Linked DNA regions of Alligator mississippiensis. The protein of the gene in region 3 interacts with the protein of the main gene of each other region in a biochemical or structural test. Links are inferred from orthologs where the notes say so. Each region holds a gene or a part of one and is shown on either strand. Other genes may lie near its edges.

Region 1 (3,745 bases), on a different chromosome or scaffold from region 3:
GAGAACGCAATGAAATCTCAGGACAGCTTGTAGTCATATTCACAGAAGTAGGTGTGAATGGGACTAAGGCTCCTGTCAGGCAGGAAAGCATAGGGATGACAGCAGAGCCCTACCTTCTCACTTAAGCCATCTTCATCCTTCTCTAGGTCCTGAAGCCTGCAAGACAGATAAGCTGCTGTCACAACCCCAGGTGTTTCACTCCCCCAGGTAACAATCTCATGCTTCTCTGCAAACCAGCTGGAAGTACCAGGGCAGATTTCCCAGGCACACTAGCAGGAAAAGGGATAGGGAACACCTCCCACAGAGGCCTGTGCCCTGCCAGTGCTGGCAGCCCAGACTGGACTGATGCCACATGGGGAGCTCCTAAGTCCCACTGGAGACTGATAGAAAACAGGACTGAGGCTGCTTCCAACTGCATGACGGGTCCTGATCACTTGGGAGATGCAGGAAGTGATGCTCTGTAAACAAGCCAGGGTGACAAGCATGGAGACTGGGCTTCTTTGTGGAAACCCCAGGTCCCACTCTTGGACACGAAAGGAAAACTTGCAACATGGCCTGAGGGCTCGGGCTTCCACAGCATTTGCTCACTTAAAAAACGAACTTTAGCCCATCTCCCTCCTGAGGGGGTTGCCCTGGCCAGAAGAGGCCAACACAAGCTAGTGCAACACCATGGGACTTTTTGGTCCCTCTAGGACAGCTCCCGGCTACAACACACACTTCCTACCCTACTGCAGCTCCACAAACCCCCATGGTCAGGGCCAAGGGCCTGCAAGTCTGGGGCTGCCATCAGAGAGACTGAGATCCCACTGCAGCCGCAGCAAAGGCCAGACAAGGAGCACCAGGATGAGTACAGGACAGTGCCAGTGCCTGGGCCTGGGTGGAACTCCCTTATGTGCTAGGGATGGGTACTAAGGGCACACACAATGAGGTCACAGGCTGTGGCTGTGCCTGGCAGGGACAAACAAGGAGACTAGGCAGTGGCTGCAGGGGGACACAAACTCACAAGGCTCCTGCGAGGGAAGGCAGGAAGAGGCCCAGGCCCTGGCCTGCCCAGGCTTTGCCTCCATATGGGGAGAGCACCATGGAGCACCTCTGTCTGGCAGAGGACAGGACGCGAGGGGCCAGCGCCACTCGCTGTGCTGTGATGCAGTCCATCCAGGGCATGTGGGGAACAAGGTCTGCCCCGCAGAGCCCGGCAGGGACAGGCCAAAGGGGAGGAGCCTTGACTGCTCTCACAGGCGGGCCCAGCAGCGGGGATGCTGGCGCCCCAATCTCTCCTCACTCAGGCGCCATGGCGCTCCCTGCTGCCCTCGGATGAGCTCCCGTGTTCCCTCCTTGGAAGGCTCACACGATACCACCTCCTCTGCACAGCGGTGACGCCCTGGGCCCTTGCCTGACTGCCCAGGGGCCCAGTTGGCAGACGGCCCACAGGGAGCGGGTGTGTGCCGGCAGCCACTGAGGCCACGTGGGCTCCCCGTTCCCGCGCACTCCCCACCGCGCCTGCTCCCGGCCCCTGCCCCTGCCCCTGCCCTGCCAGCAGCTCTGCAGATGGGCCAAGCAGCACAGCCCACCACAGACGCCTGGCCCCAGTGGGTGGGGGGGGCAGGGGGAGACAGCAGGTCCTATGTCCCACCCTCTTCACCAGGAGAGGAGCCATGCAGGGAACCCGAGGAGGATGGGGGCTGTGCTCAGTGCCAGGGTTGCAGGACTGCCTGGCCGGAAGAGGTGTGATGGGGCCCAGGCAGCCCTGGTCTGACTTGCCAAGGCTGCCTGGGGGCTGCTCCGTGGTCGAGCATGGGGAGGCAGCAGAGATGCCCCTGCTGCTCCCGTTCAGCGGTGCCGGCTGGACAATGGCAGTGAGGCAAAGCAGCCTTACAGGAAGCACGCGCCACGTGCAGCTCCCGGTGCCGCTGCTGCCACCACCAGCCTTGCCAGTTGGACGGCCCACCCGGGCTGGCGCTCACCCTGCCCTGTGGCTGGATGCAGAGGGCCCCAGTCTGTCCCTGGCATGGCCCCGGCTGTGCGATTCAGGCCTCTGGGCTGGGAGACAGCGCCAAGCTAACTCCAAACCAAGTGCAGCCGAACTCTGAGGCCAGCTCCTCGTGCGCGGTGAGGGAGGACAGGACATCTGGGACTGTCCTCAGCCCCCTGCCCCTCCCCCCACTGCAGCCTGGGGAAATGAGGGGCTCAAGGTGGCCCGGCTGCCAAGCTGAGGGGCCCCGCGGGCTGCCCCAGCACCAAGACAAAGGCAGCTGCTGGGGGGATGATCACAGGCACGGTTGGCGGGAGTGCCTGTGAGCAGGGTCCTGCTGGGTGGGGGTGGCCGTGGCGCCATGTCTGCCCCCCCGCCCATGCCAGGATGGCGAGAGTGTCCAGCGCAGCTGCAGCTCCCCCCCCCCAGCCCTGCCACCAGGTGATGGGACACGGCACCACTTCCTGTCCCAAACGGCTGGGGGGGCAGGGGGCACAGCTCAAAGCAGTTGGGACCAGGCTACCCCCTCCCACAGCTCCAGGACGTGCCCCTGTGCCAGGGCTGCACCCCGCGGCCAGCCAGGCCGACAAAGCACACCCCGACACAGCCCCGGGGCAGCACGTGGGGCCAGGCGCCTGGCGGGGGTGACCCCGAGGCAGGGGTGACCCTGCTGAAGCGAAGGGCCTGATCCTGGGGGTGCGTCCCGGCCCCGGGGGCACGATGCAGGAGTCAGGGCGGGGGACCAGACCCCGGGGGACCCGATCCTGGGCGCAGAGGCCGGGCCCGGGTCCTGAGCGCGGGGGTCCCGATTCGGGGCCCGGCACTCACCGGCGGCGGAGCGCGGCGGGCAGCGCGAGCGCGGGCGCGGGCGGCGGCGGGGCGGCCCGGGCCGGCATCGGGCTCGGGGCGGGGGCGCGGGAGCCGAGGCCGGGCGCGGGCGGCGATTTCGCGCGGAAACCAGCGCCGGGGGGAGGGGCGGCGCCGACCATCCGGCGCGCGGGGGGGGCGGGCGCTACCACTGCCGGGGGAGACTGTTCCACGCGCGGGGGTGATACCACTACTGGGTGGGGGGGTGGGCTGTTCCACGCGTGCGGAGGAGGCAGGCGATACCATTACGGGGGGGGCTATTCCACGCGTGGGGGGTGGAGAGCGCACTACCACTGCCTTGAGGGGGGGGAGCTGTTCCATGAGGGTGGGGGGAGAGCGGCTCCAGGACTGTTCCACGCGCGGGGTGGGGGGCAGATGGGCGGAACCAATCTCATAGGGAGAAGGAGGTACTACGAGGACCCAAGTGGGAGGGGGGTGAAGGATGATGGTGCGGTCGGGGTTGGGGTGGCCGAGCGAGGTGGAACGTACCACTGAGGGCGGGAGAACGGGGGTGCCCAGGGGAAAAGCAGTTGGGATGTACCATCCTCTTCCTAGGGACGGGGTGGGCTGTACCACGTCCCCAAAAGGTCTATAAGGAGCTTTGGAACATACCTGGTCGGACTGCCGTTGGGACGTACCAACCTCACACGCCAGGGGGAAACGGCGCGTACCAAATGCCTCCCTGCCTACGGGCTGACAGTTGGGCGGCTCTCGACTCCTCGGGGCGGGGCTTGGAATGTACCATGTGCGTCCAGGGGAAAGGGGGACTGAAGGGCTGTACCCTAGGGAGGGAGTGGGATGTACCAAGTGTGCCAAGAGTAGAGGGGGCAAATGGGACGTACCATTCTTTTGAGGAGGACTGGGAGGAACCATTTTCACATACAACACAGGGAGAGTTGAGACATA
Region 2 (3,745 bases), on a different chromosome or scaffold from region 3:
AACCCATGTGTTATGGGTTCTATTCTATTCTGCACTCTAAGCTACTCAAGCCCACTCCTTTCCCAGAGCTGGGATAAAACCCAGGAATCCTGATTCTCAGGCTGTTCTCTAACCCATTAGACCCCACTCTCCCATTCCAGCATTAAGAATTACACCCAGAAATTCTGATTCCCAGTCTGCTTCAGTTCTATATGTCCCTACAAGCCACCTCTCCGATTTGCCAAGATTTTGCTGTTGGTACTTCTCATCCCTTCTCCCCACCTCTCCTCTTCACACTGAGCAGCTGAATTTCAAATGCAGAATCATCTGGTGTTGGAACTAAGCACTACTTTCGACCCTACTCTATCATCCAAGGCGCACACTTCCTTGGCAGGGAGAAGGGGCTGCACTCACTATGCACTTCTTGCGTGTCTTCTGAGGTCCGATGGAGCCCCGGTGGTTACGTCGATAGCCAAACCAGACAGGATTGTTACCATATTTCTCAATGTATTCTGTGCAGAAGAGAGGAAAGTTAACAATTCCTTAAGGCGAGCTGACCCTAAGGATTCTAAAGTATATGAATAAACATAGCCTCGATAGCTTTAGCTCCACTATGTGGATATTAAGAGAGAGACTAGCTAGTTATTACACAGCAAGCTGTGCTCAGAGATGGGAAGAGAACCCAGCTATCTAACTCCTAGATATCAGTTCCCTCCAAGAGAACACAAGAGCCCTAATTCCAAACTTTCTGCTTCAACGGTGCCAAGTTCATAGGCCTAGCATTGACCTATTTACAGGCCCTAAACTCATACCTTCTGTCTCCAGATACTCCCAAGGCTTCTCCTTAAAGCGGGATTCAGTGTCAAAAGCAACTGGCTCTTCAGATTTGGCTGGGTCAGTTTCTGTGCTGTAGGCCCGGAGCTGCGGGAGCTGGAGGTGGAGTGAGGCACTGGGTAAAGCCTGAGAGACAATTAGACATGCAAGGAAGTGACCAGGTTATTCTGAACCAAAGGCTGATATGTAACAGAGAAATGTAGTTACCTCTTTGGTGAGACAGCTGATGATAGCTGCACAGAACTATCACATAGGAACTGCTTGCCAAGAGCTGAGAGTTTTACCCTGAATGGAAAAAGCTGACCTACAGAGCTGAGAAAGTTCTGGGAGATTTTGCAGGGGGTGGGGTGGGGGGGTGGTTAATCAAATAGGTTCAACAACACATAAAATGTTTTGCTGTTAACTTCCCTGGAAAATTAAAAACAAAACAAAACACACCAAGGGTAACCACTAGCACCTAAGGTGTCGCTGCAAGGAGCTACTGGACAGTGTAAGGCAACAGTCGCGAGAAATTGTTTCCACCATAGCTGTTTTTGCCTCGAGTCTCACAGCATCCTTAACTGTCATTCTGAAATGGCTCGCCAATGAAAACATCTCCAAACACTCTGAAACACTGAAGTTAGAATGCAAGGCAGTGTGATGGACCATAGCACTGCAATCCAATGTGATACAACAATATTATACATGGTGCCATAATTTGGCCTATCACAATCACATCACATCATACAGCAATCTGCCATACAGGATTTCCAATACCTAAGTTAATGATGTGATGAAGTTGTCACATGCTGAAGAAATAGGTTGCAGGAGCAGCCAAAAACGTACTTATGATATAGGCATGTCAGCTTAGAACAAGGAATATCGTTACACCATGTAAGTGGTCAGCCTGCCCATCCACGGGGATGACACAGACACAGGATCACAGAAAATGAGGGCTGGAAGGAACCTCAGGTCACATCCAGTCCAACCCCTTGCTCAAAGCAGGACCAGCCCCACTAGATCATCCCAGCCAGGACTTTGTCAAACCGGACCTTATAAACCTCCAAGGAAGGAGCTTCCACCACCTCCCTGGGTAACCTGTTCCAGGGCTTCACTGCCCTCCTAGTGAGAAAGTTTTTCCTAATATCCAACCTAAACATCACTTGCTTCATCTTGAGACTATTGCTCCTTGTCTTGTCATTGGTCCCCACATCGTGTCACGTCAGCCAACGCGGCCTGACACCATCGTAACGTGTTGACATCACGATGACATGCTGCGCCCGAGGCACCAGTATCCCAGCACCACAGCAACCCATCCTGGTGGCAGGGACAAGGTGACACATCCCCTGAGGGCAAAGACATTACAGAGCAGCTGGCAGCGCCTCTGCACGTCAACCATGGCAGTGGCAATGATGTCCTCTTACGTATCCAGGCGAGATGACATCAAGGAAGGGGACACCCCCCCAATGGCCCTGCCACGCGGTGTGCAATGACATTACTATGCAGGTGTCACTGAAGCACGGCTGGCAGCGGTCAGGCCACAGCCAGGCTCCTGAACCCTGCTCCTCACCTGGGTCCACAGGAGCCGCCCTCTCTGCCTCAGGCTACTCATCGCCCTTCGCCAAAGCATGGTCCTAATGGCCAGCGCCATGTTAAGAGAGGCACAACTACGCATGCGCGCTGAGCTCTAGCCTCAGCTGTCCCGGTAGCCGCCATCTTGTCGCACGTGATCGCTGAGGTCAAAGGTCATTACTCCAATTTTACTATATTATTTTCTTAGTCCCTAGTGATAAAGTACGGATAGGAAGAATTATTAACTTGTGAAACGCATCATGCATTTCGTAGAGAACTGGAGATAACCCCCCCCAGAGGCGCCTCCCCACCCTCGAGCATGCGCAGTGCTCAAGAAGGAATAAAAACTGCGCCACAAACACAAGACAATAGCGGGCGGTGGTCGCGCATGCGCACTGGCCCCGCCCGGAGCAGCCCACTGCTGCGCTTGCGCAACGAGGCTGAGGAAGCGCTGGGGAGCGGTCACCTACCCGCGCCTCCTAGCCCACGCCCCACGCCACGAAAATGGCGCCCGCCCGCGCGCATGCGCACCGGGCCCCGGCGAAACTGCGTCACAACTTTTCCCGATTTTAAAAACGGTTTTGGAAGGCGGCAGCCGCTTTCCAGTGCCGAGAGGCTTTCCGCTGCGGCCTCCGATTTCGGTTTGGGCGTTGTTTCAGAGGATCAGTCCAGTCGGGGCGGGTGGGGAAGCGGGAAGTGGGCTTTGTTCTCGCGCCGCCGCGCGAGCCGGGGGGGCGGGGCGGGAGGGGCGGGGCTCCTTATAAAAGGCGCCGCCCGCGCGCCTTTCGGCCATTCTGGGGTCTGGTTAGAGGTGAGTACAGAGCCGTGCTGCGACGCGGCTTGTGGGCGCTGGGCGGGGGGGCTGCAACCTCCACCTGGGGCGAGCTCGGGCGTTACAGAGGCCCGTGGAGGACGAGCCCCTCGGGTCTGGCGGAGGGAGCTGGGGTCTTTCGAGTAAAGGAGGGTCAGGGTTGGTCAGGAAAGTCCCAAGGCACAGAAAAAACCTGCTCCTTTTCTCCCCCTCTCCCTGACCCCCCCGCCCTTTATTTATATATATATATTTCCTCTTCCAAATTGTCCCTTTAACAACCCTTTTTTTTGGCCTCGGGAAGGAAACCTTTCAAACTTAATGAGTTAGATGATGTGGTTTGTGCTATGGTTTTGTTTTTTTAATGACCTTTTTTGATCCATTTCTGTCAAAAAATGCTAATCTATGCGCTCCCCTCTTTTTTTTTCTTCCTGTTCCAGGTTTGTTTGGTCCTGAAACTGCGTCGAGCTTGGCAAGAGAAACCAGAGAAAATCCCCCCCACTCGGTCCTTGGAAGACACAAAAAACCAGCCACCATATTTTTGACCGTCCTTGGGAAGCCGTTTAAATTCTT
Region 3 (3,745 bases):
TGCAGTGTAGACACAGTGTTGCACACATACACTCAGTACCATAAAATTATGTAAAATAAACAGTAGTCAGGACAGTTGGACAGCCAGCACAGCATTTAAAACCAGCACTATTTTTTTTATATATATAGAAGCAGTTTTTCTATATAGAAATAAAGGGGGACTATGCATTTTACTATATACAGTCATGAATACAACAGCATTTGTACATTTTGACTTGGGTAAAAATTTTCATTAGAAAAGTGATGTGGCAACATTTGAGTTCTCAGACTTAATTCTGAATCATTTGCTTCCCAGAATGGCTGTAAAAATATGTCAAGTCAAGCAAAGACATTAATATAATACTTGGAATCAAAGAATAGGTACCACTACTACAATATTATCATGAGCATTAGCTATACCGAGTACTCACTAGAGATCCAACCACAGATGACACTTTTTCATATGTCTTCCACGCACTTGTTCTTATGACATCCGAAACTTTTAAAATGTCACAAAGTGCAACAAAATCTGCTTCTCCAAACTCAACCCTAGCAAGAGAAGAGAAAAAAATAGTATTAGGCCAGTATGTGCCACCAGATAAGGGATTACTTCTCTGACAAGCTTACTAAGTATTAAAAATTAGATGTGCGGATCGAGACAATAGTTTGTCACATCTACAGCTAATTTCACAGAACATCTTACCAAAACAAAACAAAAAGTTAGGAACATTGCCACACACATGCAGAAATGTGAATAACCTGTTTATTCTGCAAAACTGTCTGCAAGGCTCAAACCTGTCAATCATTTAACATCAGAGATTCTGGACTGAAGGATGCAAGATGGAAAGGATTTAGAAAAAAGCCTGAACAAGGAAAATTCTCTCTGCAGCAAAAAAAATAAAATCAATCAACTCAGAAACAGGGTTAAGGTGTGAATTGATCATGAGCTACATGTATCTTTGGCAATCAGTCTAGCAAAGAAAATGTAAAACAAGTTCCAGTTAAGGGGAGTTGGATGGTACAGATCTAGATTAGAAATAAGGCCCAATTTTTTTACACTGAGGTTAATTAACCACTGAATAACTTACCAAAGAACATGGTAGATTTTTTATTACTAGCCATTTTAAAATGAAAACTAGCGTTTCAGAAATATTTTGCTCAAACAAGAATTCAGGAAAATCCTACAGCTCACATGACATAGGGCAGACTCAAGAGGTGATCTGCCACGTTAAGTCAGGCAGAAGCTAGGCCAAGGTGACACCTTAGAGACTAATTCAGTGAGACATGAGCTTTCATAGGGTCCTGCTGCCCCTTCAAATTAAAGCTGGACAGAAACCAGCTATACAATTGTTACACATTTTCAAGTACTAACTTTATAGCTGATTGGCTCGTTTATAGCTCAACAGTCCTTTTTTACAGTGATAATTCCTTTGCACATGTGGCTGGTCTTAATTTACTGTATGCTTAACCAGTTAACTGTATGAGAATTATGTTGCATGTATGGCCAGCCTACATGCATTATAAGATTCACCAGTTAACTGTTTAATATATGTAATGTGTAGTAGGGGCCACAAGCAACAACCCACTTTGTTTGAGGCAGTAAATGGGCTGCCAGAAATAAATTATTTTATATAGAAGGAAAAGGGACAAGGGGAAAAAAGAAATCTTTTGTCAGATGCTATGAATGGACTTGCAGAAAAGAGCAGGTTTTTGCCTACGCAAGGTCATGCATTCCCAAGCTAGGCCAGGCTAGATCAGTGGTTCTCAAGGAGAGTTTTTTTAGCCACACACCCCACCTCAGGAAATGCCAGCTCTCCAGTTTCACTTGGGGGCTTTTTGGGTGCAGAAAAATATTAGAGCAATTATTCTGTTGCAAAAAGCTCAACAAGTCCTGTGTCCGTCGTTCCCCACCACCCCGGGGCTGAATGGTACTTCCCATATTTCTGGGCTTTGCTAGTTGCTCCCACTACCACTGTGTTGGTGTTTTTAAACCTGCCACAGAGGCATTGAGTGTTGGCTGCAGCCAGGGCTGGGGACTTTCACTGGGATGTGCCAAGGCTCCTGCTAGGAATCAAGTCAGAGGTTCCTGGCTAGAGGGTCTTGCCCCTCCAAGGGCTCAGGGTCACACCAACTGCCAGATTTGGGCATAGGAAGGCGTTTTAGCCCATGATCAGACTGACATGGACTGTGCGGGTTTCTGGCTTCCAGAGTGGCAGGGTCGTGGGTACCCCGAGCGCATCCCCACAGCAGCAGGACATTGGCTGCAGGGCTTACCCCATGGCATGAGAGAGTGTTTGGTCTGTATGCCATCACGGTGGAGGGCAGCACTAAGGAGAGCCCGGACAGGGACAAGGCCACCTCGGGGCAGGGAGCTGGAGCTCCCTTCCAGCCCCATGTCTCCCTGGCTTAACATACAGATTCCTATTCAAGTCCCGTGGCGCGGGAGGGGTGGGGGGGATTATTTTACAAATCTCTACAAAGCTACAAGTCTCCCCCAAGACCTGGGGCGGCCTGGGGAGACCCCGCACTCTCGCACCCTGCAGAGTTTCCTCCGCCCTCCAAGCAGCGGCCCAGAGACACCGCGGCGGGCGGCCCCCCCGCTCCGCTTCTCCCCGTGCCGCCCCGGGGCAGACCCGCCGCAGCAGAGGGGATGCTGTCCCCTCCCCCGGCCGCGCTGGGCGGGCGGGGCTCACCTGGGGGCGGCGGGCGGGGGCTCGGCGGGGGCCGCGCCGCGATCCGGGCTGGCGCGTTGCCCCCTAACGGCGGCGGCAGCACCCCTGCGCGGGGGCCTGGGCGCCATGTCGAGCGGCGCCGCCGGTGCCGCCGTTTAAAGAGCCGCGGAGGACACTGCGCGGCCGAGCCGGGAAACCGCGGGAAAGCACGTCAGCCAGCCCCACCCACACTCATAGTCACTTCCGGCTCGCGGAGCCCGGGGAGTCTACAAATGGGCGGGGCTGAGGGGAAGTGGCCAAGATTCCGGAAGCAGCGGGTGCTGATCACGTCATGCTTCGCACGAGCGGCGCAGCCAATGAGCTCGGCCGAGCGCTCGCCAATGCTGGCCAATAGAGAGCTGTCCCGGTGACGGGCTCTAGCTTAGTCATTCCCTCGCCGGCAGGGGCGGGGCTGCTCGTGTCATCCAGGGGCGGGCGCAGGGATTAGGGAGGGCGGGTGCTGGGCATCGCGTCGCTGGGTGTTTCTCCAGGCAAAAATGAACCTGGTAGCAGGCTCGGGGCTCTGGGCTGGTTTGGGCAGTCTGGAATTAAAGCAGAAATGAATATACTGTACAGGTTCCCATCGTCTTATGCTGTACATACGCTCCTGGAAAACCTCCCATCCTGCCAGCTGGCCTCTCCAGGGAAGGAATTCTACCTGCTCAAGGCATCAAAATGCTACTCAACACAGCTCACCAAGGCACTCTCATGGACCCCGAGGGTCAGCCTTCCATCTTCAGCTCCATCTGTGCAAAAATGAAGTTTATTTCCTACTCATGGGGAGTTTTTACCATCTTGTACCATCTACACTTTTCCCAGAGCCTGACGAAGGGACTTTGATCCCAAAAGCTTGCAAAAAAGGACAATTTTCTTACCTTTTATTAGACCAACTGGAAAATGGCATCATTCTGGAACAAGGAGTTCTAGTTTTTTGTATGTCCTCCTGTAAAACGACTCATAACTCAAATTTTCATTTGCATAAAGGGAACCCACTTTACAATGTAACAAATAGGAATACATTCCAAGACCTTGACTGTACTGATCCCCCAACTCATT

The links.
Region 1: the proteins of RB1 (region 3) and DNMT1 form a complex in vitro, tested with the Homo sapiens proteins (2 studies listed by BioGRID). The link is inferred for Alligator mississippiensis from reciprocal best matches to the Homo sapiens genes RB1 and DNMT1.
Region 2: the proteins of RB1 (region 3) and MRPS18B form a complex in vitro, tested with the Homo sapiens proteins (2 studies listed by BioGRID and IntAct). The link is inferred for Alligator mississippiensis from reciprocal best matches to the Homo sapiens genes RB1 and MRPS18B.

What each region holds. Positions count from the first base shown.
Region 1 is NC_081831.1:22,158,677-22,162,421, forward strand, and holds the start of DNMT1 (DNA (cytosine-5)-methyltransferase 1), read right to left. Parts: upstream 2,913-3,745; 5' UTR 2,869-2,912; coding exon 2,801-2,868; intron 157-2,800; coding exon 114-156; intron 1-113. UniProt on the Homo sapiens protein: Methylates CpG residues. Preferentially methylates hemimethylated DNA. Associates with DNA replication sites in S phase maintaining the methylation pattern in the newly synthesized strand, that is essential for epigenetic inheritance.
Region 2 is NC_081834.1:53,550,203-53,553,947, forward strand, and holds the start of MRPS18B (small ribosomal subunit protein mS40), read right to left. Parts: upstream 2,472-3,745; 5' UTR 2,468-2,471; coding exon 2,363-2,467; intron 940-2,362; coding exon 792-939; intron 492-791; coding exon 394-491; intron 1-393.
Region 3 is NC_081824.1:413,414,712-413,418,456, reverse strand, and holds the start of RB1 (retinoblastoma-associated protein), read right to left. Parts: upstream 2,842-3,745; 5' UTR 2,779-2,841; coding exon 2,672-2,778; intron 528-2,671; coding exon 410-527; intron 1-409. UniProt on the Homo sapiens protein: Tumor suppressor that is a key regulator of the G1/S transition of the cell cycle. The hypophosphorylated form binds transcription regulators of the E2F family, preventing transcription of E2F-responsive genes.